3 linked regions of the Anolis sagrei genome follow. The protein of the gene in region 1 purifies or fractionates together with the protein of each later gene. This does not show direct contact. Links are inferred from orthologs where the notes say so. Each region holds a gene or a part of one and is shown in the gene's direction. Other genes may lie near its edges. The genes, in order: SUGT1, RNF41 and NOD1.

What was found.
Region 2: the proteins of SUGT1 (region 1) and RNF41 purify together in Homo sapiens (affinity purification with mass spectrometry; 3 studies listed by BioGRID and IntAct, with this or other methods). This does not show direct contact. The link is inferred for Anolis sagrei from reciprocal best matches to the Homo sapiens genes SUGT1 and RNF41.
Region 3: the proteins of SUGT1 (region 1) and NOD1 purify together in Homo sapiens (affinity purification with western blotting; 3 studies listed by BioGRID and IntAct, with this or other methods). This does not show direct contact. The link is inferred for Anolis sagrei from reciprocal best matches to the Homo sapiens genes SUGT1 and NOD1.

What each region holds. Positions count from the first base shown.
Region 1 is NC_090023.1:141,077,950-141,088,456, reverse strand, and holds the start of SUGT1 (protein SGT1 homolog), read left to right. Parts: upstream 1-5,202; 5' UTR 5,203-5,209; coding exon 5,210-5,445; intron 5,446-5,520; coding exon 5,521-5,566; intron 5,567-10,507. UniProt on the Homo sapiens protein: May play a role in ubiquitination and subsequent proteasomal degradation of target proteins.
Region 2 is NC_090022.1:138,315,742-138,325,966, reverse strand, and holds the start of RNF41 (E3 ubiquitin-protein ligase NRDP1), read left to right. Parts: upstream 1-5,076; 5' UTR 5,077-5,369; intron 5,370-10,225. UniProt on the Homo sapiens protein: Acts as E3 ubiquitin-protein ligase and regulates the degradation of target proteins. Polyubiquitinates MYD88. Negatively regulates MYD88-dependent production of pro-inflammatory cytokines.
Region 3 is NC_090026.1:80,382,003-80,393,247, reverse strand, and holds the start of NOD1 (nucleotide-binding oligomerization domain-containing protein 1), read left to right. Parts: upstream 1-7,187; 5' UTR 7,188-7,471; intron 7,472-11,245. UniProt on the Homo sapiens protein: Pattern recognition receptor (PRR) that detects bacterial peptidoglycan fragments and other danger signals and thus participates in both innate and adaptive immune responses.

The sequences.
Region 1 (10,507 bases):
TTGATGGAACTGCACAGAAGTAGGAGTGTATAGTACATAACTAACTTCATGTTCCATATCAAAAGCTCAAACACTGTGCTTATCAACAAGACTGAAGGACAAGCAGGGGATGGTAAGAACATTGTCGAGCATTAAGCATTTTAGGAGCAGTGATTCAATCATTAAATCCACAACAAGGAAATGATGACAGAAGATATAATACTTCCACCTTGAATTAAAATCTAAACATATATTTAACAATATCTGGACAGCCCCACAATAGAAAATTTAATCATGGAAAGGAGGGTGTATTTAAATAAAATGTTTCTTCGAGAGTCTAAAGGCACTTTGAGAAATTTACAATAAAGTCCTTCTGTGATTTGTATTCCCTTTCTCCTCATTGTGTGTATTTCTCCTGGTATCTAGTTGTCTTAAGCTCTCGTTGTGTATATTCTTTTTGTCCAAAATATTGCGCCTGCAATTTCACAGGGATATCTCACTGCACTTCCTGACCATGAGAGCTGTTCAAAAGTGGAACTTTTGCCTCAGAGTTCAGTGGATTTTCCTTCTTTGGAAACTTTTAAACAGTGGCTGGGTGGCCATCTGTCGGGGGATGCTTTGATTGTGCCTTTCCGACATGGCAGGGAATTGACTGGATAGCTGTTGGGATCTTTTACAGCTCTTAAGCACCTTATCATAGAGAAGTAATAGAAAGGGTGGTTTTGTTTTGATGTTTATTTGCTCTTGAGTACCACTGTTGTGACATTTTCATGTGGCATGAGAATTCCAATTAGCATTAGTGGTTTTTAAATATACAAATAAGATGTCAACTGTGGATAAATTGTTTCACTTTATGTTTTATCATTGGTTTTGACAGTGCTGAGCAAGAACACAGATATTTTACAGTCTCTTAGGCAGCTATATTTGCTGGGGCTGAAGTCAGCAACTAGCTATTTTTTTCATGTCTGCATTCTTCAACCATGTGCACTAAGTGAAAATGATGCTGCTGGGATTTGCTTTAATATGCTTCTAGCTTTTACACAAATTATTTGTGGCAAGTGGCCCAGAAGTAAAATAAAAATGATCAGGGCTACGCATGTTTTCTCAGGTTGGCACCCTTTGATTATTTGTGGAACATTCCTCTCAATGAATTGTGAAGCTGAGTATAATTTTGCTTACAAGTTAAACTGTGCATGTAATATTTTTTTAACACAAATTGAATTAAAATGTTAGTTGCTCATTAGAAGAGAAACAGGATTCTTTTTGCAGACTGGATATGGTGAATTTCCTTCTGCTTATCATGGCTTTGGCAAGATGCCTGTGCAACAATAATTTGATAAGAAAAATCCCATTTCAATGGCGATGTGTCAGTTTGTACAGTGTGATGCATTTATAAATCTCACTACTTGGTCTAATAACAGTATACCATTGTCTGAATTGATTCATTTCCACAGGGAAGAAAGAAAATCATAAGACAATCAATTTTAATATGAACGTCTTATAAGCTGTAGCAATAATAATGAACATGTTCAACTGCATGTAAAGCCCTACCCTTTACAATGAATTATGTGCTGTTTTTGGTGTGTGTAACTGGTTGCTATCATTTGAGCATTCACACTTTTGTGAGTCTAAGCTGAATATTTGAATTTCTCTATTGGTAAGTTCTGAGTTTGGGTTGATAAACAGGTATGAAAAGTTTTGATAAGTTGTCTGTGATGGGCATAAACATCTGGGGAAGGAATCATGTGGCCCTGCAGGTGCTGTTCTGCTGCAATTCCCATAATTCCTCACCCATGTCTATACTGGCTAGGTCTGGGAGTTGTATTCCCAACAGCATCTGTATGGCCATTCTTATATATGTGTATAAGGAGCCGTAGTGGCGCAATGGATTAAATCTTTGTGCCGGCTGAACTGCTGACCTGAAGGTCAGTGGTTTGAATCAGTGAGATGGGGTGAGCTCCTGTCTGTCAGCCCCAGCTTCTCATGTGGGGACATGAGAGAAGCCTCCCACAGGATGGTAACATATCCGGGTGTCCCGTGGGCAACATCTCTGTAGGCAGCCGATTCTCTCACACCAGAAGTGACTTGCAATATATTCTCAATTTACTTCTGAAATGATAAAAAACATGTATACAGATGCATACACAGAGTTTCAATAAAACTGTAAATGAGAGAATATTTCCTCCCATAATTAATATTGTTCATGACCACATAAATAAATGTTCATGACCACATAAATAAATTTAATCAAAACAATTTACATCACTGAAAAGCTTGATGTTTGTATAGGAAAAGTACTGAGATCTGGTTCTCACAAAGTAAGCAAGCTGTAGCTGATCTGTATTCTTCTATGCTATCGATGCCCCTCATGACTGAATGTCCTTGCATGCAGTATGAAGGAAATTGCCTGCATGTAGAAAACAAAAACAAAAAAACAAGCACTATGGATAGAAAACTAGATTAGAACCCTTTTCTCTTGCACTTAATTCTTGATATAGATTTTTAAAAAATGAAAGTCTATTGACCTTTAATCTGAATTTTATCAGCCAAAACCAAGATTCACAACTACAGTTGAGAATCCAGGATTGGCAGCACAGCTAGACACAATCTCTGCTTTTAGTTGTTCTGCGTAAAGCTTTAGAAGCATTTTAAAAATAATAATTATGTCTTACTCTCGGGCCCCCTGGTGACGCAGCGAGTTAAACCGCTGAGCTGCTGAACTTGCTGACGGAAAAGTTGGCGATTCAAATCCGGGGAATGGGGTGAGCTTCTGCTATCAGCCCCAGCTTCTGCCAAACTAGTAGTTCGAAAACATGCAAATGTGAGTAGATCAATAGGTACCGCTTCTGCAGGAAAGTAATGGCACTCCATGCAGTCATGCTGGCCACATGACCTTGGAGATGTCTGCAGACAATGCCCGCTCTTTGGCTTAGAAATGGAGATGAGCTCCACTCCCCAGAGTCAGACATGACTAGACATGTCAGGGGAAATCTTTATCTTGTCTTACTGTGTTTTAAAGGTAACATGTGGCAAAAACTTGTTTTAATGATGAAAACAACTAGTGTAGGAGATGGATGATGAGGATGTTAGTTTGTATTCCTACCCATTACTACTTTAACGTGTGCCGTTTTTCAGGGGAAACACTTAGAATTGATAAGAGAATGGGGTAACGCTGGAAAGATTCCTGAGAAATGCCTAAAATAGCCCTTTACAAGTAACACTTGAAATTAAGTAGAAATTGTTACTCATTCAACCGGAAAGGGAACTTGATTCTTATATAGGGACTACTTGGTTCATGTAAGTTAGATTACTTGCGAAATGTGTCTTGTTTACACCCATTACCTACAAGGAAACTAGTTACAGACAACAGCATAACTGTAATTCTTCTCTTTCACACTGGCCCTGTGGATCCTTCCCGCTATCACATGTATGAACGAACTTCAGCACCTGCCTTTTATCAGATTGCGTGTGAGCAAGTTTTACAGAAGAGAGGAAGTGGTCTTGAGGAATGTGACATCTTGCTTTCTATACTTACAGAAAATGGAGAAACAGAGCACACCTCTTTATTTTGTTGACATTTGTAGCACAACTCAAGAGACCTGGACTCTCCTCACCGAAGACCTTTGTTCTGTCTTCAGTGTATGTGATAGCCGCCAATGGAGAAAATACAGCATAATTGTAACTGGACAACATAATCGTTGTCCTGTCCCTAATTTAGGATTTCCCTAAATCAGTGCCAAGATAGAGCAACAAGTTTTCTTTGCTGCTCCTTTAACATTTTGAAACGAACTGAAAATGGAAATAGTTACTTCTATCACACACAACAATTGAAATAGCAATAATAAATCATGATAATAAACTTTATTTATTCCCTGCCACCATCTCTCCAATGGGGACTCGGGGCAGCTTACATGAGGCCAAGCCCACCAATGCAATAAAATAAATGAAATCAAAAACATAAACAAGAACACAATGATTAACATAAAACATAACTATATAAAATTACAATAAAATCATTCATAAAACAATGAGTGGGCCGCATGTCCTGAATAAAATATTAAGGATAAAAAACAGGAGGTGAGACAGCAGTGGAGTGGATTATTTTTATGAGGGAGGAACTCTTCCAAGATGGGGTCGAAAAGGACCTTCATATGCACTAAAAATGGATATTGAGGGTTAATGGGCATATGAGTTAATGGTTAATCTCCAAAATCACAGTGGAAGAGCCAGGTTTTGAGATTTTTCTTAAAACTCTCTAAGGTGGGGGCTCACCTAATCTCACCATAAACCCACTGTTAAGATCTCCACAGGCTGGAGGCAACATTTAGGGCCTAATTCATACTATGCAGTGCAAGTTCTATATTCCACCTTAATTGTCATGGTAACATCCTATGGAATCATGGGCTTTGAAGTCTGGAGCATTCTGGTGAGAATTGAAAATGCCCTCCTGTACACTACAAATCCCATAAATCCATAGGAGGGAAACATGGTTGTTCAAATAAAATCACAGTGCTATTAACTGTGTAGTGTCAACAACTTTTGAACATTTCTTCAGCTATTCTGTATTGCCTTCCTTTGATGGATTATTAATGGTTTCACGATTACGATGTGTCGTTCATAGAAATTTAAGGGGATTTCAGAAGATACACCCCTCTGTTTGTACTTTTTCCTCATTACTTCACTCCTGTTTCATCTTTATTTTCCTGCACTGGAAAATCCACTATAGAGTCAGAAAAAGAAAGCAACAGTTCTACCTTCTGATCCTTAGAGCATTCCACCTGGAAATACTCCCAGATGATCTTAATGTCTTAGTTGGTTCATAGGAGGAGATGCGTTTGGAGAGGTAAGTAGTGCCAGAACCGTTTAGGGCTTTATAGGCTAACGCCAGCACTTTGAATTGTGCCCGGTTGCAAACTGGCAGCCAGTGGAGCTGGTGCAAGAGAGTAGTATGCTCCCTGAGTGCCGCTCCTGTTAGCAACCTGTTAGCAACCTGTTAGCAGAGAGCTCTGTGCCCCACCCCAGCCATTCCACAGATATATAAACCCATTGTCCTAATTCCAACAGACCTCACTGCCTCTGAGGATGCTTGCCATAGATGCAGGCGAAACGTCAGGAGAAATGCCTCTAGAACATGGCCCTATAGCCCGAAGAAACCCACAAGAACCTAGTGATTCCAGCCATGAAAGCCTTCGACAATACAGTACATTGAACTTCCCTCTTGTTTTGGAAGATGATTGACGCCGGGAGGCGGGCCCTCTGCCGTGGAGGCTCCGCCCCCCATCGAATGTTGACTCCTCCGCCGCCCTCCGCGAGAGGACTCTTGCTGACGTATAAAGGCCGCGCCGGCACCGCCTTTTCCAACGTCACAGGGCGCGCGCGACAGCGGAAAGAAACAAAATCTTCGCGCTCTAGAAGTTTCCTCGGCGGGGCCATGATGGCGGAGGCGGCAGGAATGGGAGTCTCGTGGTGAGCCCTCAACCCCCCACCCCTTCACCCCGCTCCTCCTCCGCGTTCGGGCCTAACTCTCGCTTTTCTCCGCAGGCTGACGGAGTGCGACGTCGAGAAAGACCCCGCGGGCGCCGTGCAGGTAGGAAGGGGAGCTTCCATTCTTGCCACACGGGTCTCCCTGCTTTTTGGTTTGTTTTCCCTCTCAGCTGGCCAAAACTATATCTCTCCCGAAACAGAATCATGTAGTACAGTGGCGACTTCCCGCTTCCCTCACGGCCTGACATTTCCTGAACAAAAGCTCAGTTCACCAGATGTGGGATAGCTGTTCCTATATTGGAGGGCCCTTCCACACAGCCCCATATCCCAGAATGTCAAGGCAGAAAACCCCACATTATCTCCTTTGAACTGGAATATATGGCAGTGTGGATTCTGTTAACCCAGTTCAAAGCAGATATTGTGGGATTTTTTGCCTTGATATTTTGGGATATAGGACTCTGTGGAAGGGTCCATAGTGTGTAGAATCATAAAGTTGGAAGAGACCCCAAGGGCCATCCAGACCAAACCCCCTGCCATACAGGAAAAGTACAAACCATCCATGATAGATGAATATTGTATATACATATAATATTTATAATATTATAATGTAATACAGTATAATACTAATAATAATATATTATAATTATATATTTTCTATTGCATGTAATATTACAAATAATATTACAATATAATGGTATAGTACAATGTAATAATAATAATAATAATAATACACTTTATTCATAACCCGCCACCATCTCTCCAAAGGGTACTCGGGGCGGCTAACATGAGGCCAAGCCCAAAATAATACAGCATAATAAACACACAATAACAAAATACATCAATATATTATTATTATTATTATTACCTTTATTTGTACCCCGCTAGCATCTCCCGAAGGACCCGATGCGGCTTACAAAGGCCAAGGCCTCAAACACAACATAACAATACACAACCTAAAGCAATTTAAAAAATTAAAGCAGTTAAAGCAAAATTAAACAACAAGCAATAAACAATACACCAAGTGCTGATGTGACAGGTGATATGTAAGGATTATAGGGTAAGTGTAATATAGTAATATATAACACTGATATTGTACTATGGTAATAATATAATGTATGTATATAGTAAGCCACTCTGAGTCCCCTTCAGGGTGAGAAGGGCGGCATATAAATGTCGTAAATAAATAAATAGATGGCCACCCAGCCTGTGCTTCAAAGCCTCCAAGGAAGGAGACTACTGTCTTGGAGGCGGCAGCATATTCCATAGTCAAAACAATTCCCACTATCCGCATTTTTATTCCCCTCCACACAGCTGTATAAAATCCCACACCAGCATTGAACTGAAATATATGACAGTGTGGACTCAGGGCCCATCTACACAGCCATGTAATGCAGAATATCAAGGCAGGAAATCCCAAAATACCTGCTTTGGGCTGGAATATATGGCAGTGTGGACTTAGATAACCCAATTCAAAGCAGCTATTGTGGGATTTTCTGCCTTGATATTCTGGGTTATATGGCTGTGTAGAAGGGTCCCCAATGTTTCCTTGGAATTTTCTTTCTGATTATTTGAATCCATTGCTTTCAGGTATTCTGTCACCCATGCTATTTAATATCTACATGAAATCACTGGGAGAGATCATCCAGAGTTTTGGAGTTAATGCAGATGATACCCAACTTCATTACCCCTTTCCACCAAAATAATATTTTTATATCCTGCCCCCTTGTGCCGAAGAGACTTAAGGCGACTTACAGTAAGAACAAACAAATACAGTCAATGATATAACATAGGCAATAATCACATATCATCACATATCACTTATTAAAAACAAAATAGCATAATAATGTAAACATAAATAAATAACCAGTTTACAAGACTATTTAGTCCTTTAAAAACAACATTTATATATAGATATTGTTTAAAACCAGCCAAGAATCCTGTTCTCATCCTGAACTGGTACCTATATACTGTAATAGACTGGATGAGGGTGAATAGATTAGAATTAAATCCTGACAAGACAGAGGTGCTTTTGGTCAGTTGCAAGGCAGCTCAGGGTATAGGGATACAGCCTGTGCTGGATGGGGTTACACTCCCCCTTGAGGCAAGGTACACAGCGTGGGGGTGCCCCAGGTGTCATCAGTGGCCAGGAGCACCTTTGCACAATTAAAACTTGTGTGCCAGCTGCGCACGTACCTTGAGACGCCAGATTTGGCCATGGTAGTGTATTCCCTAGCTACATCTTGACTGAACTACTGCAACGCGCTTTATGTGGGGCTGCCTTTGAAGAGTGCTCAGAAGCTTCAGCTGCTGCAAAGGTCGGCTGCTAGGTTACTAACCGGAGCACTGTACAGGGAGCAAACAACTTGCTTGCTGCAGCAGCTCCACTGGCTCCCAGTTTGCTACTGGGTGAAATTTAAAATACTGGTTGTTACTTTTAAAGCCCTAAATTATTTGGGTCCAGAGTGTTTGGCCAACCACCTCTCTTTATACAAACCTGTCCAGACACTGCGATCAGGGGAGGCGCTCCTGCCTCAAATCCGGCTGTTGGGTACAAGAGAGAGGGCTTTCTCTGCATTTGCCCCCTACTTCTGGAATTCCCTTCTGAAGGAAATCAAAATGGCCCTCTCGTTGCCCCCTTCAAAAAGCAGTTAAAATGTTTCTGTGCACCCAAGCATATGGCGAAGCAGGTGGTTAAGTTAAGGTTTTAAGAAAGTTCTTTAACATTGTAGAGCAGAGGTTCCCAAACTGTGTTTCATCAAACCCTAGGGTTCCACGTTAGAATGACTTGGAGGTCTCTCAGTTACAGGGTCAACTTGTCAGCAGTTAACAATAACCAGCAGTATATACTTTGCCTAGAATTACACTTCTTATACAAATCATGCATTTCTTGTACATCTATCTGTACAATTTGGGCCGTTATGGATTGCATTTCATCTGGAGACATTCTTTTTGGGAGGAATCCTCTTTTAAGTGGTAAAGCGATTACAGTAGAGTCTTGCTTATCCAACGTTTGTAGTATCCAATGCAGTCTGCCTCTCATCGAGGCAGCTGTTTCCATACGTTTTGATGTTTTGATTCTAAATTTGTAAATACAGCAAGTACTACATAACCTTGCCATGTACTGAACCACTTTTTCTGTTGATTTGTGGTAAAATATGATGTTTTGGTGCTTAATTTGTAAAATCATAATTTAATTTTACATTTAACAGGGTTTTCCTTAATCCCTCCTTATTATCTAACATTTTCGCTTATCTAATGTTCTGCCAGCCCGTTTATGTTGGATACGTGAGACTACTGCAATAGCAAGTAGTGGAACTAGCCTAGAAGAGAACCGGGATCTACTTCATTTTTTAAAGAAAAAAATACTGGACCTAAAATGCCTGTGGGCCCTTTCACACAGCTCTATATCACAGAACATCAAGGTAGAAAATCCCACCTTATCTGAGTGTGGGCTTAGATAACCCAGTTCAAAGCAGATAATGGGGGATTTTTTGCCTTGATATTCTGGAATACAGGGCTGTGTGGAACGGCCCTGGGGATGATGTGCTATTTGGTGGTCAAAAAGGACTTTGAAACAATATAATGGTAGGGCTCTATAGGGACTGCGAATACAGTGTGGGCTTCAGGAATTTTCCTGAAGATATAAATGCCAGTTTCCTTAATTTATTTTGTTTCAGGCTAATTCTCAGAAACACATCTCTTTGAACATTTATGACATAGGACTTGAGTTGCATTTTTCTGTGTCCTATAATATTCTATTAGAATCCCACCACTGTATAGGTATGCTTTATAGGCGAGACTTATATCTTTGAAAGTGCATGCAAAATTAAAAATTCGTTAGTGAAAGAGGTGCTGCCAGGTGCCTCTTCTTTCTTCTCTCTCCTCCATCCTAAATGTTAACACATCGAAGTGCTGCATTTCCCACTCAGTTTGTTTTTCACAGTGTACACTTGAAAAATGTGAACACCTTAATACAATCATTGGTATTATGAGTATGAGAAGACTAAATAGTATCAGAGACATAATTTAATGTAGCTGCCTATACACAGCCCTAATCTTCATCTTGGGCTGAAAGAAAATTTATGGCGTTGATAGAAGATGTGGTTTCTTTGAGATCCAGTCTGATGTAGTGGTTTAAGTGTAGGACTAGAAATGCATCTGAATTGTCGGATTACCACTTTAACTACTGTGACTCCTTGGATTTGTAGTTTGGTGAGGCAGAGTAAGGCAAAGGCAAACCTCTGAATAAACCTTGCAGAGAACACAGTAATAGGTTTAACTTTTCATTGTGGGAAGCGCCATATTTTCAAAACTAGGTATTGTTTATTATGGCTTGCTACTTTCTGAAACAGGCTAAGTTTTTTTTAAACAGCATGTGGGTTTCTGCTATCAGAATGCCAAAACTTCCTTACTTATTTCCTCCTCTGCTGCTATGTTCAGGCGGGGTTTCTGTCAATTAATTTTTAAAAAGGTGGTTTTTGAAGACTGAGGGATTGTTTATGGGTTGCAAAACCTGGGCCCAATTTTCTACCACTGTGTTATCCTGAAGGGGAAAACTCATCAGCATGAGCAAGTGGAAGCAATTGGATATTTGCTTCATTCTGGTAAGTCAGGCATCTGTAGAGCTTTGAATGACTATAGCACGTACTGGGTTTTGGTATATAGACTGTCAGTGAAGAATGTAACATAGGCTACAATAGGATGAGAAAGCAAATGGCAATGGTAGAAACTAGATAACTTGTGTATTTGATATTGCAGTTGATTATTTACAACCTTGAGGTGAACTTATTACAGTGCAGTATTTTTCTGGCAAGATTTCTTTAGAATTAATTTGCTAGTGCCGTCCTCTAAGGCTGTAATAATGTGACTTGCCTGATGTCACTCAGTGGGTTACAGCATCGTAAATGCAGCTTGGCCACCAATAACACAGTCCAACAACAACACCTTTTTAGGTCTGTTTCTGGGGTTATTAGGGGCACTGATTCAGAAAATTGCATTGGATAGACCACATTAAAAATTGGTTAAAAATTGCTGGAAGAAACGT
Region 2 (10,225 bases), on another chromosome or scaffold:
CCTGGCCACAGTCTGCATCTGCAGTAATCTTTGCACCTAGAAATACAAAGTCTGTCACGGCCTCCACGGTTTCTCCCTCTATTTTCCAGTTGTCAATCATTCTTGTTGCCATAATCTTGGTTTTTTTGACGTTTAGCTGCAACCCGGCTTTTGCGCTTTCTTCTTTCACCTTTATTAGAAGGCTCCTCAGCTCCTCCTCGCTTTCGGCCATCAGAGTGGTGTCATCTGCATATCTGAGGTTATTAATGTTTCTTCCAGCAATTTTCACCCCAGCCTTGCATTCATCCAGCCCCGCACATCGCATGATGTGTTCTGCATACAAGTTAAAAAGGTTGGGTGAGAGTATGCAGCCTTGCCGTACGCCTTTCCCAATCTTGAACCAGTCTGTTGTTCCGTGGTCAGTTCTGACTGTTGCTACTTGGTCCTTGTACAGATTCCTCAGGAGAGAGACAAGGTGGCTTGGGATGCCCATCCCACTAAGAACTTGCCACAATTTATTATGATCCACACAGTCAAAGGCTTTAGAATAGTCAATGAAGCAGAAGTAGATGTTTTTCTGAAACTCCCTGCCTTTCTCCATTATCCAGAGGATATTGGCAATCTGGTCTCTCGTTCCTCTACCTTTTCTAAACCCAGCTTGAACATCTGGCAACTCTCGCTCCATGTATTGCTGGAGTCTTCCTTGCAGGATCTAATACTATACTTGCAGGATCTAATACTTGCAGGATCTAATACTATAGAGGCCTACTATATTTCTTCTCCTTCTCCCTGAAGGCTTTAACTATTTTTCCTCAAAGAGGTATCTTTCTAACAAACAGTTCCCAAAACTTTTCCTTCCTTCCCCTTCAAATCTCCTAACCTAACCTTTAAACACCAAACTCCCAACTGACTAAACTATGGCTGCCTTAGCTCCTCCCTTTCCCTATGACTCCACCCATCTCCAGTTGCTAAGCAACTGCCTCCAATTTCACCAGCCAATCAGACCGCACTTCCAGCTATGAGGCTGACTGATCACTCCACCCCCCTACTCTCCTTAGCTTTTCCAAGCCAGGTCTATTTACTGCCTTTACACCAACCCTACAAGGTAGACTAATCCGTTACAGCCTGATATGAGAATTAATAAATAGTTCAAAGGCACTAGATCCCATCTCATCTTGGAAGCTCAGCAGGACAAGCACTTGGGTGAGAAGTGTTTTAGGCTGTATTTTAGGCCGCCCTGAGTCCCTCCTCGGGGGTGAGAAGGGCAGGGTACAAATGTATGAAATTTAGAGGAAGGAATTCAAAAACCCACCTCTAAGGGTACCTGGTCTTTAAAAAGCGCTATGAAATTAAGGTGAAATAAAACAAGAATATGTTTATATTTGTTATAAATCGATAGGCAACTTGAGGACACATCACACATGAAGGTGAATGACACAGAACTTTGAAGGAGGGGACTGTTAAGAAGTTGTATTTTGGAAGTAACTTCAAACTCATTATACAAATAAATAAATTATTGCTACCTTAGGTCCCTTCCACACTGCCCCTATATCGCAGGATCTGATCCCAGATTATTTGTTCATCTCAGGGCCCTTCCAGACAGGCCCTATAACCCAGGATCTGATCCCAGGTTTTCTGCTTTAAACTGGATTATATGAGTCCACACTGCCAGATAATCCAGTTTAAAGCGGATAATCTGGGATCAGATCCCGGGTTATAGGGCCTGTCTGGAAGGGCCCCCAGATGATAGGGAAATGGAGACTCATATAATCCACTTTAGAGCGGATAATCTGGGATCAGATCCTGGGATACAGGGCAGTGTAGAAGGGGCATTACTCTCATGGCACCCTTTTCTCCACAAAGAGATTCTTCACTGCTTTTAACTTATCACCCTCAAGCTCTGAATATCATAGACTCAACCATTTCAATCAAGGTCCTTGATTTATTCCCGCTTGTGGTACAGAGTTGACAGAATGCAAATCTGCAGGTTTTACTTTGTGGTTTCCTTTTCTTTTTTCTACTAGAACCTCAAGCGCCACCAACCAGTCAGATGGTGACTCTGATAGACAGAGAGATGCTAAGGAACAGAGCACCTCTGGGCATGTTCTCTGCCCAGGAATTTGTGGTCAATACCTGAACTGAGGCTGGATCGACACTGCAGTTTGAACTGCATTACAATGGTCAGTTCAGAAACTCATATAATGTAGTACAGTGCATTATTTGGCAGTGCTGATCCAGCCTCAGTTCATAAGATGTTTCAAATAACCACCCCAATTCCACACCTTCCAGCATAATTTTTCTGCAACCTAGGTGGTGACCAACTTTACAGGGAGTCTAATGTGTCCAGTGATAAACAAGTAAATGCCAATCTACTTTTTTTTTTTACTGTTTCTGCATAGGTTATATCAGGCCCCATTCTACACTGCCATATAATCAATTTTATGAAAACAGATAATCTGGATTTTATATGGCAGTGTAGAAGAGGCCTGTGTTAATTATACTCCCTCAGTCTCAGGCCCCTTCTACACTGCCACATAATCCAGATTATCAAAGCAGATAGTCCACATTATCTGCTTTGAACTGGGGTCCTTTCCACGCAGCTGAATAAAATCTCACATTATCTGCTTTGAACTGGGATATATGGCATGTGGACTCAGATATTCCAGTTCAAAGCAGATATTGAGTCCCGGCCCTGAGTTACTGCCCCCCCCCCCCCCAGTAGAGAAAGGCGGGGTATAAATAAGGTAAATAAATATTCCGCCTTGATATTCTGAGTTATATGGCTGTGTGGAAAGGCCCTGGATTATATAGTGTACACCAACATATGATCCAGTTCAAAGCAGATTTTATATGGCAGTGTAGAAGGGGCCTCAGAGAAAGGCCATGGCCAACCCCTTCTGAACACATTTTGAGAAGAAAAAGGGATAGGGACTCCATCCTCAACTTGAAGTAACATGAGAACAGGGGGGGAAAGTAGGATGAAGAGCATTTTCTTTACAGAAGGAAGGAATGAAGGAAGTTGCAGAGAATCTTCTTAACTTGCAACAGATGTTATATAAGAGGCAGAAAAACCTGTTTATTCTCTTTTCAAAAAGAACATTGATCATATCTGATTATTCAGGCCTCAAAAAGTACTGCTGTCAAGTTAAATGTTATTTTTGGCTTTGTTCTGCCTTTGGTTATACCTTTGTGCACACTTATGCAAAGGGAGAAAAAAGTGGAAGGGAAATGACATCAGGCGAACTATTTGACTCCAGAAGCAGAAGACAACTCCCCACTCATGCCTAATATAAAATCCCTGAGTAAGGATGCATCTACACTGTCAACATTGGTGATCACTCGTGTCCGAGTGGGATGGCCTTCCAAGCACAGTGTCTTGGTGGTGGGTCTGTAGGTGACTCTGGAGCCCACTTCTTGATCCGCATGTTCTTCTGCAGTGAGGACATTGGTTTCCAGATGGAAGAAGGTCCTGGTCAGGGTTGGCTTGATACACCTTCCTCTTGATGCATTTCTCACTTTCGCCCTCCGTTTGTGCCGCTTCCAATTCCACAGCACTTTGGTCACAGCTGACCTCCAGTTAGGGCGCTCACGGACTAGAGCTTCCCAGTTCTCAGTGTCTATGCCAGTTTTTAAGATTGGCTTTAAGCCCATCTTTAAATCTCTTTTCTTGTCCACCAACATCCCATTTTCCGTTCTTGATCTGAGAACAGAGTAACTGCTTTGGGAGATGGTAATCAGGCATTTAGACAACGTGGCCAGTCCACTGGAGTTGATGTCGTAGGAGCATCGCTTCAATGCTGGTGGTCTTTGCTTATTCTAGGACACTGACATTTGTCTGCCTGTCTTCTCAAGAGATTTGCAGGATTTTCCGGAGGTAGCGCTGATGGAATCGTTCTAGGAGTTGCATGTGACGTCTGTTGAGTGTCCACATTTTGTAGGCATATAACAGAGTTGGGAGAACAATGGCTTTATAAACAAGCTCCTTGGTCTCCCTATAGATGTCCTGATCCACAAACACTCTCTGTTTCATTTGGAAAAATGCTGCACTCGCAGAGCTCAGGTGGTGTTACATTACAGTGTCAATGTTTGACTTTTGTGGAGAGATGGTTACCAAGGTAGTGGAAATGGTCAACATTTTCTAATGTTACATCATTAAGTTGTATTTCCAGCATTGCAGAGAGACTGGCTGGTGCCTGCTGAAAGAGCACTTTTGTTTTCTAAATGTGGAAAAAACCATGCTTTCGTATGCTTCTGCAAATGTGTTTCAAGTAACTTGTAGGCCTTCTTCTGAATGAGCACAGACTCCATTATCATCAGCATATTGCAGTTCTATAACAGATGTTGTCACCTTGGTTTGGCTTTCAGTCTGCTGAAGCTAAATAACAGAATGAGTTAAATGTACACTGTAGAACAGGTATGGGCAAACTTCGGCTTTCCAGGTGTTTTGGACGTCAACTCCAACAATTCCTAACAACCAGTAGACTGTTAGGAATTGGAGTTGAAATCCAAAACAACTGGAAGACCAAAGTTTGCCCATGCCTTCTGTAGAATGGGTGTAGTTTGACACCACTTTAACTGCATTGGCTCCATGTTATGGAATCCTGGGAGTTGTAGTTTGGTCAGGCACATTTTTGGCAGGGAAGGGTACAGAACTTCTTAAATTGCAACTCCCATTTTTCCATGGCATTCAGCCAGGGCACTTAGGACAGCAAAAAAGGTTTTCCCCTGACATTAAGTCCAGTCGTGTCCGACTCTGGGGTGTGGTGCTCATCTCCATTTCGAAGCCGAAGAGGCGGCGTTGTCCGTAGACACCTCCAAGGTCATGTGGCCGGCATGACTGCATGGAGCGCCGTTACCTTCCCGCCAGAGAGGTACCTATTGATCTACTCACATTTGCATGTTTTGAAACGGCTAGGTTGGCAGAAGCTGGGGCTAACAGCGGGAGCTCATGCCGCTCCCTGGATTCGAACCTACGACCTTTCGGTAAGTAAGTTCAACAACTCAGTGGTTTAACCCATTGGGTGCCTCCGGCGTGCAGCTGTACAAACAAGCCCCTCCCACTCCGGCACGCCCACCCCTCAAAGCCCCTCCCACTCGGCCGCCGCGTGCCTCTCCGCCTGGCTCGTCGGGCAGCGGGCGATACATAGAGTGGGCGGGGGTGAGCGAGTCGCGTCTTTCTCCAGGTGGCTAGAGTGGTCCGCCTCGCGCGCCCTCCTTCAGTCTTCCCCATCCCCGCCTCTGTGAGGGCACAGAGACAGAGAGAGAGAGAGACGGGCATCCGGGTTGGAGCTGGCGTGTTTCCGGTGGTGGCTGTGAGGGAGAAAGAAAGGGGTGGGGGAGCGAGCGGCGGAGCGGCGGATTCCCCCACCCGCAGCCGGGCCCCGCGGGAGGTAGGCCGGAGCCGAGGCGGGGCGGGGGCCTGCCGCGGGGAGCGGGAGAGCGGGGAAAGGCCACGGGGCGGGGGGTGGTTTGGAGGCACAGCGCCTGAGGGCCGCCGCCGGTCGCGCCTTAGACGCCCTTGTTGCCAGGGAGGCCCGCTGGGCAATCGGGGCTGTTCGACGCCCCCTGTGCGGCCATGGCTCCTGGGATGTGTAGTGTGGTGAGGCACCGGCCTCCTTGGGCAGCAAAGGCTCAAGGCCTGGCCGAATAGCAGCTCCCAGGCTTCCACAGCAATTGAGGCATGGCAATTAAAGTGAGATCAAACTGCATCAATTCTGCAGTGTAGACGCGCCCACAGTGGGGCTTCCTCTTCCAAGGCTTGACAAGCACTTCCAGGCAGTTCTGGCCTCCGCAGTGTATGAGAAACTACCATGAGCAGAAGGTATGTCTAAGGCAGGCATAGGCAAACTTGGCCCCTCCAGGTGTTTTGGACTTCCGGCTGTTAGGAATTGTGGGAGTTGGCGCCCAAAACACCTGGAGGGCCCAAGTTTGCCTATGCCTGGTCTAAATAGAAACAGTGAGGACATGTTTGTTGAAAAACGGCAAACTGACCATGAATGTGAGGAATATCTAAGGGGAAACTCAATGGGAATAATAATAATAATAAGAAGCATTATTTTTATTACTTGGGTTGTTGTAGTTTTTTTTTTTTCGGGCTATATGGCCATGTTATAGAGGCATTCTCTCCTGACGTTTTGCCTGCATCTGTGGCAAGCATCAAGGTAGTGAGGTGACTAGGTGAGGTCACTACCTCTGAGGATGCTTGCCATAGATGCAGGCGAAACGTCAGGAGAGAATGCCTCTATAACATGGCCATATAGCCCGAAAAAACCTACAACAACCCAGTGATTCTGGCCATGAAAACCTTTGACAATACATTTTTATTTTTTACTAGCTGTCCCCTGCCACGCATTGCTGTGGCCCAGTCTGTTGATCTGGACAATAAAGTAATGAGAAAGTGTTGGTTTCTATTATATGTAATTTCTTTATGCTTGTGGGTAAAGAGTATTTCTTGCTTTTTCTTTGTCAGTGTTTATGTGGAGAGTGTCTGGTTTGCCTCCATGCAACATATCATTGTCCTTCTTTAAGGGTCTCTTTCAAATCTATGATACTATATCTCTCTCTGTGTGAATCATATCTATCTATATCTATCTATGGCTGGATGGCTCCTTGTCAGGAGGACTTTGATTACGTTTTCTTGCCCTGATGAAGGTAGTTGTATTGCATGACCTTAAGTATTTTCTGTTGGTCATGGGGGTTCTGTGTGTGAAGTTTGCCCCCGATTCTGTCCTTTGTGGGGTTCAGGATGCTCTTTGATTGTAGGTGAACTGTAAATCCCAGTGACTACAACTCCCAAATGTCAAGGTCTATTCCCCCAAACTCCCATCTGTGTTCATATTTGGGCATATTGAGTGCTTGTGCCAAGTTTGGTCCAGATCCATCATTGTTTGAGTCCACAGTGCTCTCTGGATATAGGTGAACTACAACTCCCAAATTCAAGGTCCATGCTCACCAAACACTTCTAGTATTTTCTGTTGGTCATGGGAGTTCTGTGTGCCAAGTTTGGTTCAATTCCATCGTTAATGGAGTTCAGAATGCTCTTTGATTGTAAGTGAAATATAAATCCCAGCAACTACAACTCCCAAATGACAAAATCATAATTTTTTGAGTGATGGTCACTCCTTGTGTTGTGAGACGTTTTGTTGCCAAATTTGGTGTGATTTTGTTCATTGGTTCTTTTGTTTTTAAGGTAATCATTATGCACAAAGCATTTATATATATATAGATTTGCTTTGAAGTCCAAAACACCTGGAGGGCCCAAGTTTTGCCCATGCCTAGTCTAAAGAGAAACTGTTTGTTGAAAAACGGCAAACTGACCACGAATATGAGGAATATCTAAGAGGAAATCCAATAATAATAATAATAATAAGCATCATTTATCTTTATTTATTTCAAGTATTTATACCCCTGTCCTTCTCACCCCTGGAGGGAGACTCAGGGCGGCTTATAACAGCCAACCATTAGATGCCAAACAAATACATTAAAATACACAGTTACAATGAAAACAGCAATTAAAAACAATTATAAACATTCAATTTAAAACAGTCCGCCAGTTCAGAATCATAGTCCAAGGTCAGTCTATTGCCGGTCACGTCAAACATTCTCTTCCTAGTTGCTACATTTACTGCTCAAATGCTTGAACCCACAGCCAGGTTTTAATATTATTATTTTTTACAAAAGGCCAAGACAGAGGGCACAGACCTAATTTCATTGGGGAGGGAGTTCCACAGCCAAGGATCCACCACGGAGAAAGTCCTGTCTCCCATACCCACCAGTCTCACCTATGAAGGTTGTAGGACCGAGAGCAGGGCCTCCCCAGATGATCTTAATGTTCTATCCTGCCCCCTCTCCCCAAAGGGACTGGACAACTTACAGAAAAACAAACGAATGCATTATATAATGAATAATAATAATAAGCTTTATTTATATTCCGCCCCTCTTCCTAAAGGACCTCAGCAACTTACAGACAGTGATCAAATATCAATTAATAAAACAAAATAGCACAATAGTGTAAACATAAATAACAGTTTTAAAAACTGTTTAACCCTCTAAAAACAGTATATATAGAAATGGTGTTTAACACCAGCCAATAAGTGTGTTGAAAGATAGTTCCGGTTTATTGGCTCTTTGAGCAACAAGGATGGAGACTGGATGATGTCATTGTATTGCCAGAAACTTTAGCACGATTTACCAATAATGTAAATGTACCAGACCTTTTGGGAAACCTTTAATGATACAGTGCACACAAACACACACACACACACACCCTTTATCCACAGCGGAAACTCCCAGACTTTGCATGGATATGCAGAGTCATGGATAATAGCACCCAATTGAAATGAAGGACTAAATTATTCCTCAGGAAGACCATAAAGCCATGCTGGAGGATCTAGAACAGGCATGGACAAACTTTTTCCTTCCAGGTGTTTTGGACTCCGACTCCCACTATTCCTAACAGCCGGTAGGTTTGCCCATGCCTGATCCAGAAGATGCCTAGAGAAAGACACAAGGGATTTTTTAGGAGGTGGATCATTAAAACAAAGGATTCCAGTTCCCCGGATACTGTACTGCTGACTAGCTGGGCATCTGAAAAATATTTTTGCAACATTTATGTGCCAATAATTTCATTTATATAGGTTCAGTACACTTTATCTGAAATACTTAGGATCAGAAATGATTTGGATTTAAAAATTTGAATACCTATTTACAAATGTGTTTACAATAAGATATCTTGCAGATAGGGTGCGTGTCTAAATATAAAATTTATTTGCATTTTCTTTGCACTGTACTGTATATATAAGATGTTTTAAAATGATGGACCCAGTTTCAAAGCAGTATATTTCTTGCTTCAACATGTTACAATTACACAAAAGGTTACAAACAATTTAATGAGTTATAATGTTTTACTAACCACTTTGAGACCGAAACAAATCTAAAAAAAGAACTCCACACATGGAGGCTCTCTTATTAGGCCTTACGTTGCATGACTTGTGAATGACTGAGGCCAGAGGCTGTTTGTGCACTGGGAGAAGCAGCTGTAATCATTGGAAACCATGCCCCGCTCTTTCAAATTGTAAGAGTTGAATTGATGAGAGGTTAATTGTTGCAGAGATATAGCAATTTCAAATTGGGTCCAACTTTTGAAACACCCTGTACATAGGCTGAATGGATTATTATTATTATTTACACCCTGCGTTATCTCCGCAAAGGAGATAAACATTTTTATTAATAATTTTGTGCTTTAAATTGAGTTTGTATACATTGAACCCTCAGAAAACAAGGGTGTCACTATCACAGCCCCCTCTGTGGTCAATTTTGAATTTTGCATTTCTAGATATGAGATGCTGTATACACTCGTGTTGTCATAGTTGATATTTTCTAATGAAAATAAAACTGTTTTAAAATTTGATGGAGGGAAATTTACCAGGAAAGTTTGGAAACTGGCCTTAACAATCTAGTAAGTTAAAAATAGGTCTTAATAGGAAGCAGGGGTTGAAAGAAACCTATGAGATAAATATTTTTTACTTTTTTGGAAAGTAGCTTCGGAGTGTGAACAGAGGTTGAAGAGAGACTCTTATGTTTTATGTGCCTCTAGAGACATGGATTCCATGATCTCCTTTGTATTGCAGAAATTGAGGACAGAAGCAGCAGCATCATGAATGAGATGCACTTGCAATGTTTTTCTCTAGATCAGAGCTTTTAAAACTTTCCATTTATGACCCTTTCTCCTTTTTACCCATGAAATGTTTATATGACCAAAAGTATATAGGTATATTCAACTGGTATAAAAATCAAACATTTACTGAAAATAAACCAGCATTTACAAGGCTTGCTAAACAGGCTGATTTTTCTTTTTGTGGAGTACAGCTGAAGCATTTTTTGCAGAGTTGACTATAAACACTGCATGTTGTTGCTGTTAACTTGTTAGGGTTGGGTAAATAACCCTAACACATGGCTGAAGAGAGTTGGACTAGATGGCCCTGGGGTCTTCCATTGAAATACTGTAAAGATTTATGTTGGTTAACATTGTTCTTCATTTTAAATACTCTATTGTTCTTTCATCCTTTTTTTTTTTTTGCACTGTTGGAATGAATGAGTTCACGCACTCTCCATCAATCTGCCACTGACCTGGCCCATGTCTGATATATACATATACATTCTCTCTCTCTCTCTCTCTCTCTCTCTCTCATACACACACATACACATAATGTAATATATAAACAATTATTGGGGCTCCATAATAAAC
Region 3 (11,245 bases), on another chromosome or scaffold:
ATAAAATTACAATAAGGACAAACACAATGACAATGGGTGGACTACATGTAATGATTAAAAGAAATACTAATTAAAAACTAATTAAAGACTCGGGCGAGATAAAAGAAAAGCAGTTATTTGCGGAGGAGGGCTCATTATAGCGGGGGATTGTGGAATCAAGCTTTCCCACGGGGGGGGGGGGGGGGGACATATACTCCACATATATGCTCCTAGGTATATAACTTATGATTGACCCTTAGGACTTCTTTTATTCTATTTTTATAAGCATTCGTAGTTGTTTTTTAAAGAAATTAGTAAAGTTATTCCAGTTTGTTTTAATTGAAGTTGAACTGTTTTGAGCAATATTCTGAGTTCATAAATCCATATTCATAATATCTAGGGCTTTCTTTATCCATCCATCCATAGTTGCCATTTCTTTTAATTTCCAAAAGTGGGCTATGACTTTTGTACAATTCAGATTAGAACTGGATTACTTGCAAGTCTTTTTCTTGAAGAGCTGCTGGGAGATGGGAGAGAATGCCTCTGATGGATGAGTGGGCTTATTAATAGAAGACCCACATAAAGATATAGTAGATTAACTTATTAGCAGCAGTGTGACCCAGCATCAGTAGCCAAAAGTGATAAAAAGAACAAAACCTCACAGACCAATGCTATCTCTTCCTTTGGAGGCTTTTCTTTGTAGCAAAATAATATGGTTGTACTATTTACAAGGTTTCCATAACACAAAGTTCTTTAGACTTCCTTCTTTGCTTCCATGTTGGGCTTCTTTCTCATGCAGATACACAGCTTTACTCTCACAGAGCTTCCTCTCACACCGAATTTACACAGGAGCTTTGTACTGTAGCTTTACACACAGCAGCCTTCACACTGGAGCGTCACGAGGCCTTCAACATGGGGCTTCTCTCAGCAAAGCTTCTCACACCAGGCCTTCTTACACTGAGACCTACCTCACACTGAGGCCTTCCTCATACTGAGGCCTGTTGTAGCTCAGTCAGATGAAGATGAGGGGTTTGGGGGTTCACAGCCTGATGGTTCTGTAGGTGAGCAAACAGGTTTTAGAGTAAAATGAGGGAATGGAGGGGGGTTTGGAGCAAGATGAGAGTGAAAATGGAACTGTTTTGGAATCCAACAAGCAGGGAGAGGACAACAGTAGCTCATCTGAGAGAGCAGCTGACAGAGATACCAGGCTGATCATGATAGGGCTGAGATTCAGGTGCAGGAAAATCCATGAGAAAAAGAGGCAAAAGCAGGCCTCTCAAGGTCAAAGGAATGTGTTCATGTTTTGCAGTTCTTAAATTAGTGAGATTTTTGTTAGGATTTTAGATCAAGCACCATCGCATTTTCTCCTGACGTTTCGCCTGCATCTATGGCAAGCATCCTCAGAGGTAGCGAGGTCTATTGGAACTAGGAAAATGGGTTTATATATCTGTGGAATGACTGTGCAAAAAGAATCTGCGAACCCCCACCTCCTTCAAGATGAACTGAACCACCTCAACTGGGCTCTACAGGCCAATGGATACTCCACCTCAGACATCAGAAGAGCTGCAAGACCGAGAACAAACCACGAGAGTAAAGACAACGATCCACCCAGAGGAAAAGTGCTCTTGCCATACATCAAGGGAACCACTGACCACATAGGGAAGCTGATGAGAAAACACAACATACAAACTATCTACAGACCCACCAAGAAAATCCAACAAATGCTACATTCAGCAAAGGACAAGAAGGATCCTCTCACTTCTACAGGAGTCTACCGTATACCATGCAGCTGTGGACAAGTCTACGTAGGGACCACCAAACACAACATTGACCAAACACGAATCAAGGAACATGAAAGGCACTGCAGACTAGTTCAACCAGAGAAGTCAGCCATAACAGAGCACCTGATGAACCAACCTGGACACAGCATATTATTTGAGAACACAGAAATGCTGGACCACTCCAACAACCACCATGTCAGGCTACACAGAGAAGCCATTGAAATCCACAAGCATGTGGACAATCTCAACAGAAAGGAGGAGACCATGAAAATGAACAAAATTTGGCTACCAGTATTAAAAAATTCTAAAATTACAACAGCAAAACAACAAAGGGGAAACAAGACCTGGCTGTTCGAACAAGCATTTGGTTAAACAGTGTAATTGAACATAGGAATATGGAATAATGGATGATGAGACTGGATTCTGATTTTACTGTTGAGGCGCTAATGATTGTTATACGGATGTTTAATTATTTTTGTTACAACTGTTTTTAATTGCCCTATACTTGTCTCGTGATGTTTTGTATTGATGTTGTTCACCGCTTTGAGTCGCCTGAGGGCTGAGAAAAGCGGTTTATCAATAAAGTAAATAAATAAATAAATAAATAAATCAGGCACATCTAATCACCTCTCAACAAAAGATTGCCCCAGGCACTGCCAGGCCATCAAATGCTAATCAAGGTGGTCAGTTGAAACATTCACACCTAGCTCCAACACACAAGAGTTCTTTGTCCCACCCTGGTCATTCCACAGATATATAAACCCCTTTTCCTAGTTCCAACAGACCTCACTACCTCTGAGGATGCTTGCCATAGATGCAGGTGAAACATCAGGAGAGAATGCCTCTAGACCATGGCCATATAGCCCGAAAAAACCTACAACAACCCACCAACAATAATATGTTCCATGTTCCAAAGTAGACAAACCAGACATTCTCTACATTAACACTGACAAAGAAAGAAGTACTGTTTACCCTCAAGCATAAAGAAATTACATATATTAGAAATCAACACTTTCTCATCGCTTTATTTTCAAGATCACAAGACTGGGCCACAGCAACACGTGGCAGGTGATGGCTAGTCTATATATATAAATTTGTTAGGGGCATCCAACGAGGAAACAAAACTCAAAACCCCGCCAACGAAACTTAACCAAAATTCCCATGCCCACAACACAACCCATAAGGTACAAACATATCTACTCAAAATGAAAAACAACACAACAACACACTCACAAAACGGCAAAACAACAAAACTCAAAGATCCCCCAACGAAACTTAACCAAAATCCCTGTGCCCATAACACAACCCACAAAGTACAAACATATCTACTCAAAATGAAAAACAACACAACAACACACTCACAAAACGGCAAAACAACAAAACTCAAAAATCCCCCAACGAAACTTAACTAAAATCCCCGTGCCCATAACACAACCCACAAGGTACAAACATATCTACTCAAAATGAAAAACAACACAACAACACACTCACAAAACGGCAAAAGAACAAAACTCAAAAATCCCCCAACGAAACTTAACCAAAATCCCCGTGCCCATAACACAACCCACAAGGTACAAACATACCTACTCAAAATGAAAAACAACACAACAACACACTCACAAAACAGCAAAACAACAAAACTCAAAAATCCCCCAACGAAACTTAACTAAAATCCCCGTGCCCATAACATAACCCACAAGGTATAAACATACCTACTCAAAATGAAAAACAACCCCACGCTCCATCACTCCCCCCACCGCCTCACACACACACACAACCCCAGGCTCCATCACTCCCCCCGCCGCCGCACACACATACGCAACCCCACGCTCCATCACTCCCCTGCCCCAATCTTACCTCCTTTTACTTCAGGCCACCTCCAAACCCCACCCCGCCCCTTCCCGCCCTGTCAAAATCTAGGAAAGACAGGAAGGAAGGAAAGAAGGAAGAAAGAGAAAGGGAGGTAAAGAAAAAGAAATATATAAATTTGTTAGGGGCATCCAACGAGGAAACAAAACTCAAAAACCCCCCAACGAAACTTAACCAAAATTCCCATGCCCACAACACAACCCATAAGGTACAAACATATCTACTCAAAATGAAAAACAACACAACAACACACTCACAAAACGGCAAAACAACAAAACTCAAAGATCCCCCAACGAAACTTAACCAAAATCCCTGTGCCCATAACACAACCCACAAAGTACAAACATATCTACTCAAAATGAAAAACAACACAACAACACACTCACAAAACGGCAAAACAACAAAACTCAAAAATCCCCCAACGAAACTTAACTAAAATCCCCGTGCCCATAACACAACCCACAAGGTACAAACATATCTACTCAAAATGAAAAACAACACAACAACACACTCACAAAACGGCAAAAGAACAAAACTCAAAAATCCCCCAACGAAACTTAACCAAAATCCCCGTGCCCATAACACAACCCACAAGGTACAAACATACCTACTCAAAATGAAAAACAACACAACAACACACTCACAAAACGGCAAAACAACAAAACTCAAAAATCCCCCAACGAAACTTAACTAAAATCCCCGTGCCCATAACATAACCCACAAGGTATAAACATACCTACTCAAAATGAAAAACAACACAGCAACACACTCACAAAATGGCAAAACAACAAAACTCAAAAATCCCCCAACGAAACTTAACCAAAATCCCCGTACCCATAACACAACCCACAAGGTATAAACATATCTACTCAAAATGAAAAACAACACAACAACACACTCACAAAACGGCAAAACAACAAAACTCAAAAATCCCCCAACGAAACTTAACTAAAATCCCCGTGCCCATAACACAACCCACAAGGTACAAACATATCTACTCAAAATGAAAAACAACACAACAACACACTCACAAAACGGCAAAACAAAAAAACTCAAAAATCCCCCAACGAAACTTAACCAAAATCCCCATGCCCATAACACAACCCACAAGGTACAAACATACCTACTCAAAATGAAAAACAACACAACAACACACTCACAAAACGGCAAAACAACAAAACTCAAAAATCCCCCAACGAAACTTAACCAAAATCCCCGTGCCCATAACACAACCCACAAGGTACAAACATATCTACTCAAAATGAAAAACAACACAACAACACACTCACAAAACGGCAAAAGAACAAAACTCAAAAATCCCCCAACGAAACTTAACCAAAATCCCTGTGCCCATAACACAACCCACAAAGTACAAACATATCTACTCAAAATGAAAAACAACACAACAACACACTCACAAAACGGCAAAACAACAAAACTCAAAAATCCCCCAACGAAACTTAACTAAAATCCCCGTGCCCATAACACAACCCACAAGGTACAAACATATCTACTCAAAATGAAAAACAACACAACAACACACTCACAAAACGGCAAAAGAACAAAACTCAAAAATCCCCCAACGAAACTTAACCAAAATCCCCGTGCCCATAACACAACCCACAAGGTACAAACATACCTACTCAAAATGAAAAACAACACAACAACACACTCACAAAACGGCAAAACAACAAAACTCAAAAATCCCCCAACGAAACTTAACTAAAATCCCCGTGCCCATAACATAACCCACAAGGTATAAACATACCTACTCAAAATGAAAAACAACACAGCAACACACTCACAAAACGGCAAAACAACAAAACTCAAAAATCCCCCAACGAAACTTAACCAAAATCCCCGTACCCATAACACAACCCACAAGGTATAAACATATCTACTCAAAATGAAAAACAACACAACAACACACTCACAAAACGGCAAAACAACAAAACTCAAAAATCCCCCAACGAAACTTAACTAAAATCCCCGTGCCCATAACACAACCCACAAGGTACAAACATATCTACTCAAAATGAAAAACAACACAACAACACACTCACAAAACGGCAAAACAAAAAAACTCAAAAATCCCCCAACGAAACTTAACCAAAATCCCCATGCCCATAACACAACCCACAAGGTACAAACATACCTACTCAAAATGAAAAACAACACAACAACACACTCACAAAACGGCAAAACAACAAAACTCAAAAATCCCCCAACGAAACTTAACCAAAATCCCCGTGCCCATAACACAACCCACAAGGTACAAACATATCTACTCAAAATGAAAAACAACACAACAACACACTCACAAAACGGCAAAAGAACAAAACTCAAAAATCCCCCAACGAAACTTAACCAAAATTTCCGTGCCCATAACACAACCCACAAGGTACAAACATATCTACTCAAAATGAAAAACAACACAACACACTCACAAAACGGCAAAACAACTGAGCATGCGCATTGGTGCCCAGCCGCAAGTTCCATCGCGCGCGCACATGGCCTTCCGGCCAACGTTCCCTCTGCGGAAACCATGCCCACTCCAAGCTCCGCCGTGCCGCTTCCCGCACACACACACCCCCTGCCGCACACACACACGCAACCCCACGCTCCATCACTCCCCCCGCCGCCGCACACACGCACGCAACCCCACGCTCCATCACTCCCCCCACCGCCTCACACACACACACAACCCCAGGCTCCATCACTCCCCCCGCCGCCGCACACACATACGCAACCCCACGCTCCATCACTCCCCTGCCCCAATCTTACCTCCTTTTACTTCAGGCCACCTCCAAACCCCACCCCGCCCCTTCCCGCCCTGTCAAAATCTAGGAAAGACAGGAAGGAAGGAAAGAAGGAAGAAAGAGAAAGGGAGGTAAAGAAAAAGGGGGAAGGGAGGTAAAGAAAAAGGGGGAAGGAAGGAAAGTTAGAGGAAGAAGAAAAGGAAAGAAAAGGAAAGATGGAAGGAAAGAAAAGAGAGACAGCAGAAGAGAAAGAAAAAGGGGGAAGGAAGGAAAGAGATAGAGAAAGAAGAGGAGAAGGAAAGATGGGAAGGAAGGAAGGAGGGAGGGAGGGAGGGAGGGAAAGAAGGAGAGAAAGAGGGAAGATTGGCCACAGCAACACGTGGCGGGTAAAGGTTGTTATTTCTATTATTATGATGATGATGCTATTGTTCCTCTGAGACCCTTTTAGGGGGAATGGGAGAGGTGTCAGGTCCCAGAGGGAATGCATTGCATTATTGTTATTGTTATAATGGTGGTGAAATAAAAGGAAATAAAAAGAGAAAGAAGGAAGCAAACAGGGAGGGAAGAAAGGCAAAGGAAGAAAGGGGGAGGGAATGAAGGAAAGAGAGAAGGATGAAACCAAGTAGTGAAAGAAGGAAAGAAAGAAAGACGGAGAGAAGGAAGAAAGTAGAGAAAGGGGGAGGAAAAGGGGGAAGGAATAGGTAGGGACCTCTCTTTCATAATAGTCCAGATATCTACCTCAACTTTGATAAGTTTTACTATAGGCCACAGCAACGCGTGGCAGGGCACAGCTAGTGTAATAATAAATGCCTTTCAGGGCGCCTTTTGCAGGAGAGCGTTCTCTGCCTAGGCCACTTCCTGCGGCCGCCCTGCAGGGGGCGCTGCGAACTACACCACGCTTCCCATTGGAAAGGCAGCCAGGCGGGCAGGAGGGAGTCCTGGAGCTCTGTGCTCGGGCTCTGGGGGCGGCGGCTCCGGGAGATGCGATCCGGGGCGGGGAGTAAAAGCAGAAGCAGCCCCGCTTTCTCTTCGTGCCCCTTCGGCCCCTTTCGCTTTTCCTTTCTCCTCTTCTGGATCCTTCTGGTAAGTGGGACCGCGATCTTGGGGGGCTGGAAGGGGAGGCGACCCTGCAGCAGAGCCTTACTGGAATCCCAACTTTGTCGGCTTCGTGGGTGCCAAAAAAAGTAACTTTTATTCCAAGCCCAATCCCCGGAGGCAGCAGGAGAGAAGAAAGATTCAGGGAAACTCGGAGGAAAAGTTGCTTTTGACCGCCGAAGGGGTAAGAGTGCATCTACATTGGAGAACTACCGCAGTTTGATACCACTGCCATTTCTCAATACAGTGGAACCCTAAGAGTCGTCGTTTGGTGATGTTTGCACTCTTTAACAGAGAAAGGTCAAGAGCTTGCAAGACGACAACCCCCAGCATTGAGCCCTTGCAGTTAATAGGTGTCAAACCGAGTTAATTCTGCAGTGTAGATGCTCCCCTCGTTCATTAGCCAGAGCTTGAGGAATGCAAAGAAATGATTTGTGTGTGTGTTAAGGGCCTCATCACACTAGAGAAAAAAATCCACTTAAAATCTGGTTTCTACCTCATGCAGTATTCTGGGGTTTGTAGATTAGGGAGGAGCCTTTACGAACCTCACTAAACTACAAATCCTAGAATTCTGCAGGAGGCAGAAATCGGATTTTAAGTGGATTTTTTTTCTCTCTAGTGTGATGGGCAAACTTGGTGTTTTGCTCTACTAGTGTAATAATAAATGCCTTTCAAGGCACCTTTTGCAGGAGAGCGTTCTCTGTGTTGAAGGCTTTCATGGCCGGAATGACTGGGTTGTTGTAGGTTTTCCAGGCTGTATGGCCATGTTCCAGAAGCATTCTCTCCAGACGTTTCACCCACATCTATGGCAGGCATCCTCAGAGGTTGTGAGATCTGTTGGAAACTCGGCAAGTGAGATTTATATAGCTATGTGATGTCCAGGGTGGGAGAAAGTACTCTTATCTGTTTGAGGTGATATTCCTGCCGGGGGAATCCTTTGTTAGTTCGCCCTGATTGTTTCCTGTCTGGAATGCCCCTATTTTTGAATGTTTCACTTTGTTTACTGCCCAGATTTTAGAGGTTTTTTTAATACTGGTAGCCAGATTTTAGTCATTTTCATGGTTTTGTTCATTTTCGTGGTTCAACAGAAAGAAGAAAATGATGAAAATGAACAAAATCTGGCTACCAGTGTTTAAAACCTCTAAAATCAGGGCAGTAAAGAAAGAGCTACACTCAAAAACAGGGGGATTCTAGACAGGAAACAATCCGGGCCAGCTAACACCTCCCAACAAAGAATTCCCCCCAGGCAGGAAGCAGCCAGGCTTTGATCATTCAGTGCTAATCAAGATGGCCAACTGCAACATTCACACTTTCCTCAAGCAGGCAAGAGTTCTTTCTCCCAACCTGGAAATTCCACAGAATTGGCCCTAGAAATCTGTACGTGACCATATGAATTAAAACAACATAATTAAAAATCGGTTTGGATTAGGATTCTGGATTATGTGATTTAATGTTATATTAAGAGGTTGGGAGCCCCCAGTGGTGCAGCAGGTTAAACTGCTGAGCTGCTGAATGTGCTGATCGAAAGGTTGGTGGCTCAAATTCAGTAAGCGGGGTGAGCTCCCGCTGTTGGCCCCAGCTTCTGCCATCCTAGCAGTTCAAAAACATGCAAATGTGAGTAGATCAATAGGTACCACTCTGGCGGGACTCCATACAGTCATGCCGGCCACACGACCTTGGAGGCGTCTATGGACAACGGCAGCTCTTCAGCTTAGAAATGGAGATGAGCACCAAGCCCCAGAGTTGGACTTGACTAGACTTAATGTCAAGGGGAAACCTTTACCCCTTTAAGAGGTTTTTAATTCTATGTTTTAATGGCCTATTTGTTTATGTTCTATGTTTAATATTATTTTAATGGTTTAATTTATAGTAATATGTTTGGGTTATTTTAGTTATTATGCTTTAGGTTTGTATATATGTTGGCATTGAATCTTGCTATTACTTGATGTACACCACTTTGAGTCCCCCCAGGGGTGAGAAAAACGGTATATAAATATAGTAAATAAATAAATATTTAATAAGCCTTGGCACTATAAGAGGGTATCATGAGACCAGTCGCTCTCGTTGCAATGGTAGTAATGGTGAGGCTGCGGACCATATTTGTCATGAATGACTTTTCAATAACTTTAAAGCATAGGTTCTTTTTATTGCAATTTCCAGTGTGAGAGGGTATATCAGATTACAGAAAACATTTAGATAAAGAATGACATTGGACCTACAGACATACAGATTCTAAGCAACTACATTGGATTTACAATTACACTGGTTAACAAACAAACAAAGGGGAATTACATTTTCACTCAACATTCATACCACATATACACGCAATGATCCTCAGGCATTCAAATGTTACCATATCATTTTCTCCCTCCTTGGAGAAGCACGTGTTAGGCCAGACCCTGCTTTCCTGCAGCCTGCCAATGCATAGTTCCAAAACTTCCGTAACGCCATAACTTCAAAACACCAAAATGCATCCTTTCCCTAAGAACAATGCCAGGGACCAGATCTCTGTTTTCCATACAGCAGAACCTGACTCCCTGCACAAAATCTAAGACTCCAAAAGCGCACTTCTTCCTCTTCCCTTGAGAAAGAAGCCCCAAAGTGACCAGACTGCTCCCGTGCAGATCTGCCACTCTTCATAGGTACACTATCTCTCTCCTTCCCATGGAGCAGAGCATAGTGGGTGAACCAGACTCCTCAGGTCGGTCACATTTTGAGCATTATTAGACTGAGTCTTTACAACTTTGGGACTACATCAGCAGAATATTCCTATAAAATATAGGAATATTCTGCTGATGTAGTCCCAAAGTTGTAAATTAATGATAGACATCTTCCATCTTGGCTCCATCTCAGTTTCCTGGCCAGATGTTGACTCTTCTTGATTGGTGTTGACAAACACAAGGCCTGTGTTGACTTCCTTCTTAACATAAGGAAGGTTGCAAACATTTCCTTTATCACTGTCCCATTCTTATCAGAGATTACTTTTCAGATCTCATTAGCAGGTTTTATCCACATAGTTAGCCAAAATTATTAACTCCATCCATACAACTTTCATTCTTCCATTCATTGCCACACCTCATTATATCAAATCCACATTTCTCAAATCCACAATAATATTTTCGTGATATATTTTAGTTCTCGTGGACCACTGTTGGTCTTAAAAAATAGTTTTCTAAGATCTACAGAGACACTCGCTGGAACACCTCAGCAAGCGAGAGTCCAAAAGTGGCAAGCTCAAACTCAGAACCTCAACCAATGGCTGATACCAAATGAGAGACTCCCCCCTGGACACACAGAGGACTGGGCGACTTGAAAGACGCTGAACGGACTGCGCTCTGGCACCACAAGATGCAGAGCCAACCTTCAGAAATGGGGCTACAGGGTGGAATCCTCGACATGCGAGCGTGGAGAGGAGCAAACCACTGACCACCTGCTGCAATGCAACCTGAGCCCTGCCACATGCACAATGGAGGACCTCCTTGCAGCAACACCAGAAGCACTCCAAGTGGCCAGATACTGGTCAAAGGACATTTAATCAACTACCAAACTCACAAATTTTGTATTCTGTCTGTTTGTTTGCTTTGTTCTGTTAGAAATGTAATGTAATTGACTGGTTGCCCTGACACGATAAATAAATAAATAAATACATAAATACTGTTGGTCCACGGACCACAGGTTGGGAACCGCTTATCTACATGATGGCAACAACTAACAATGCATCAGCATTGAAAGGATTCAACGTTAAGGTGTAGGTGAATCCTA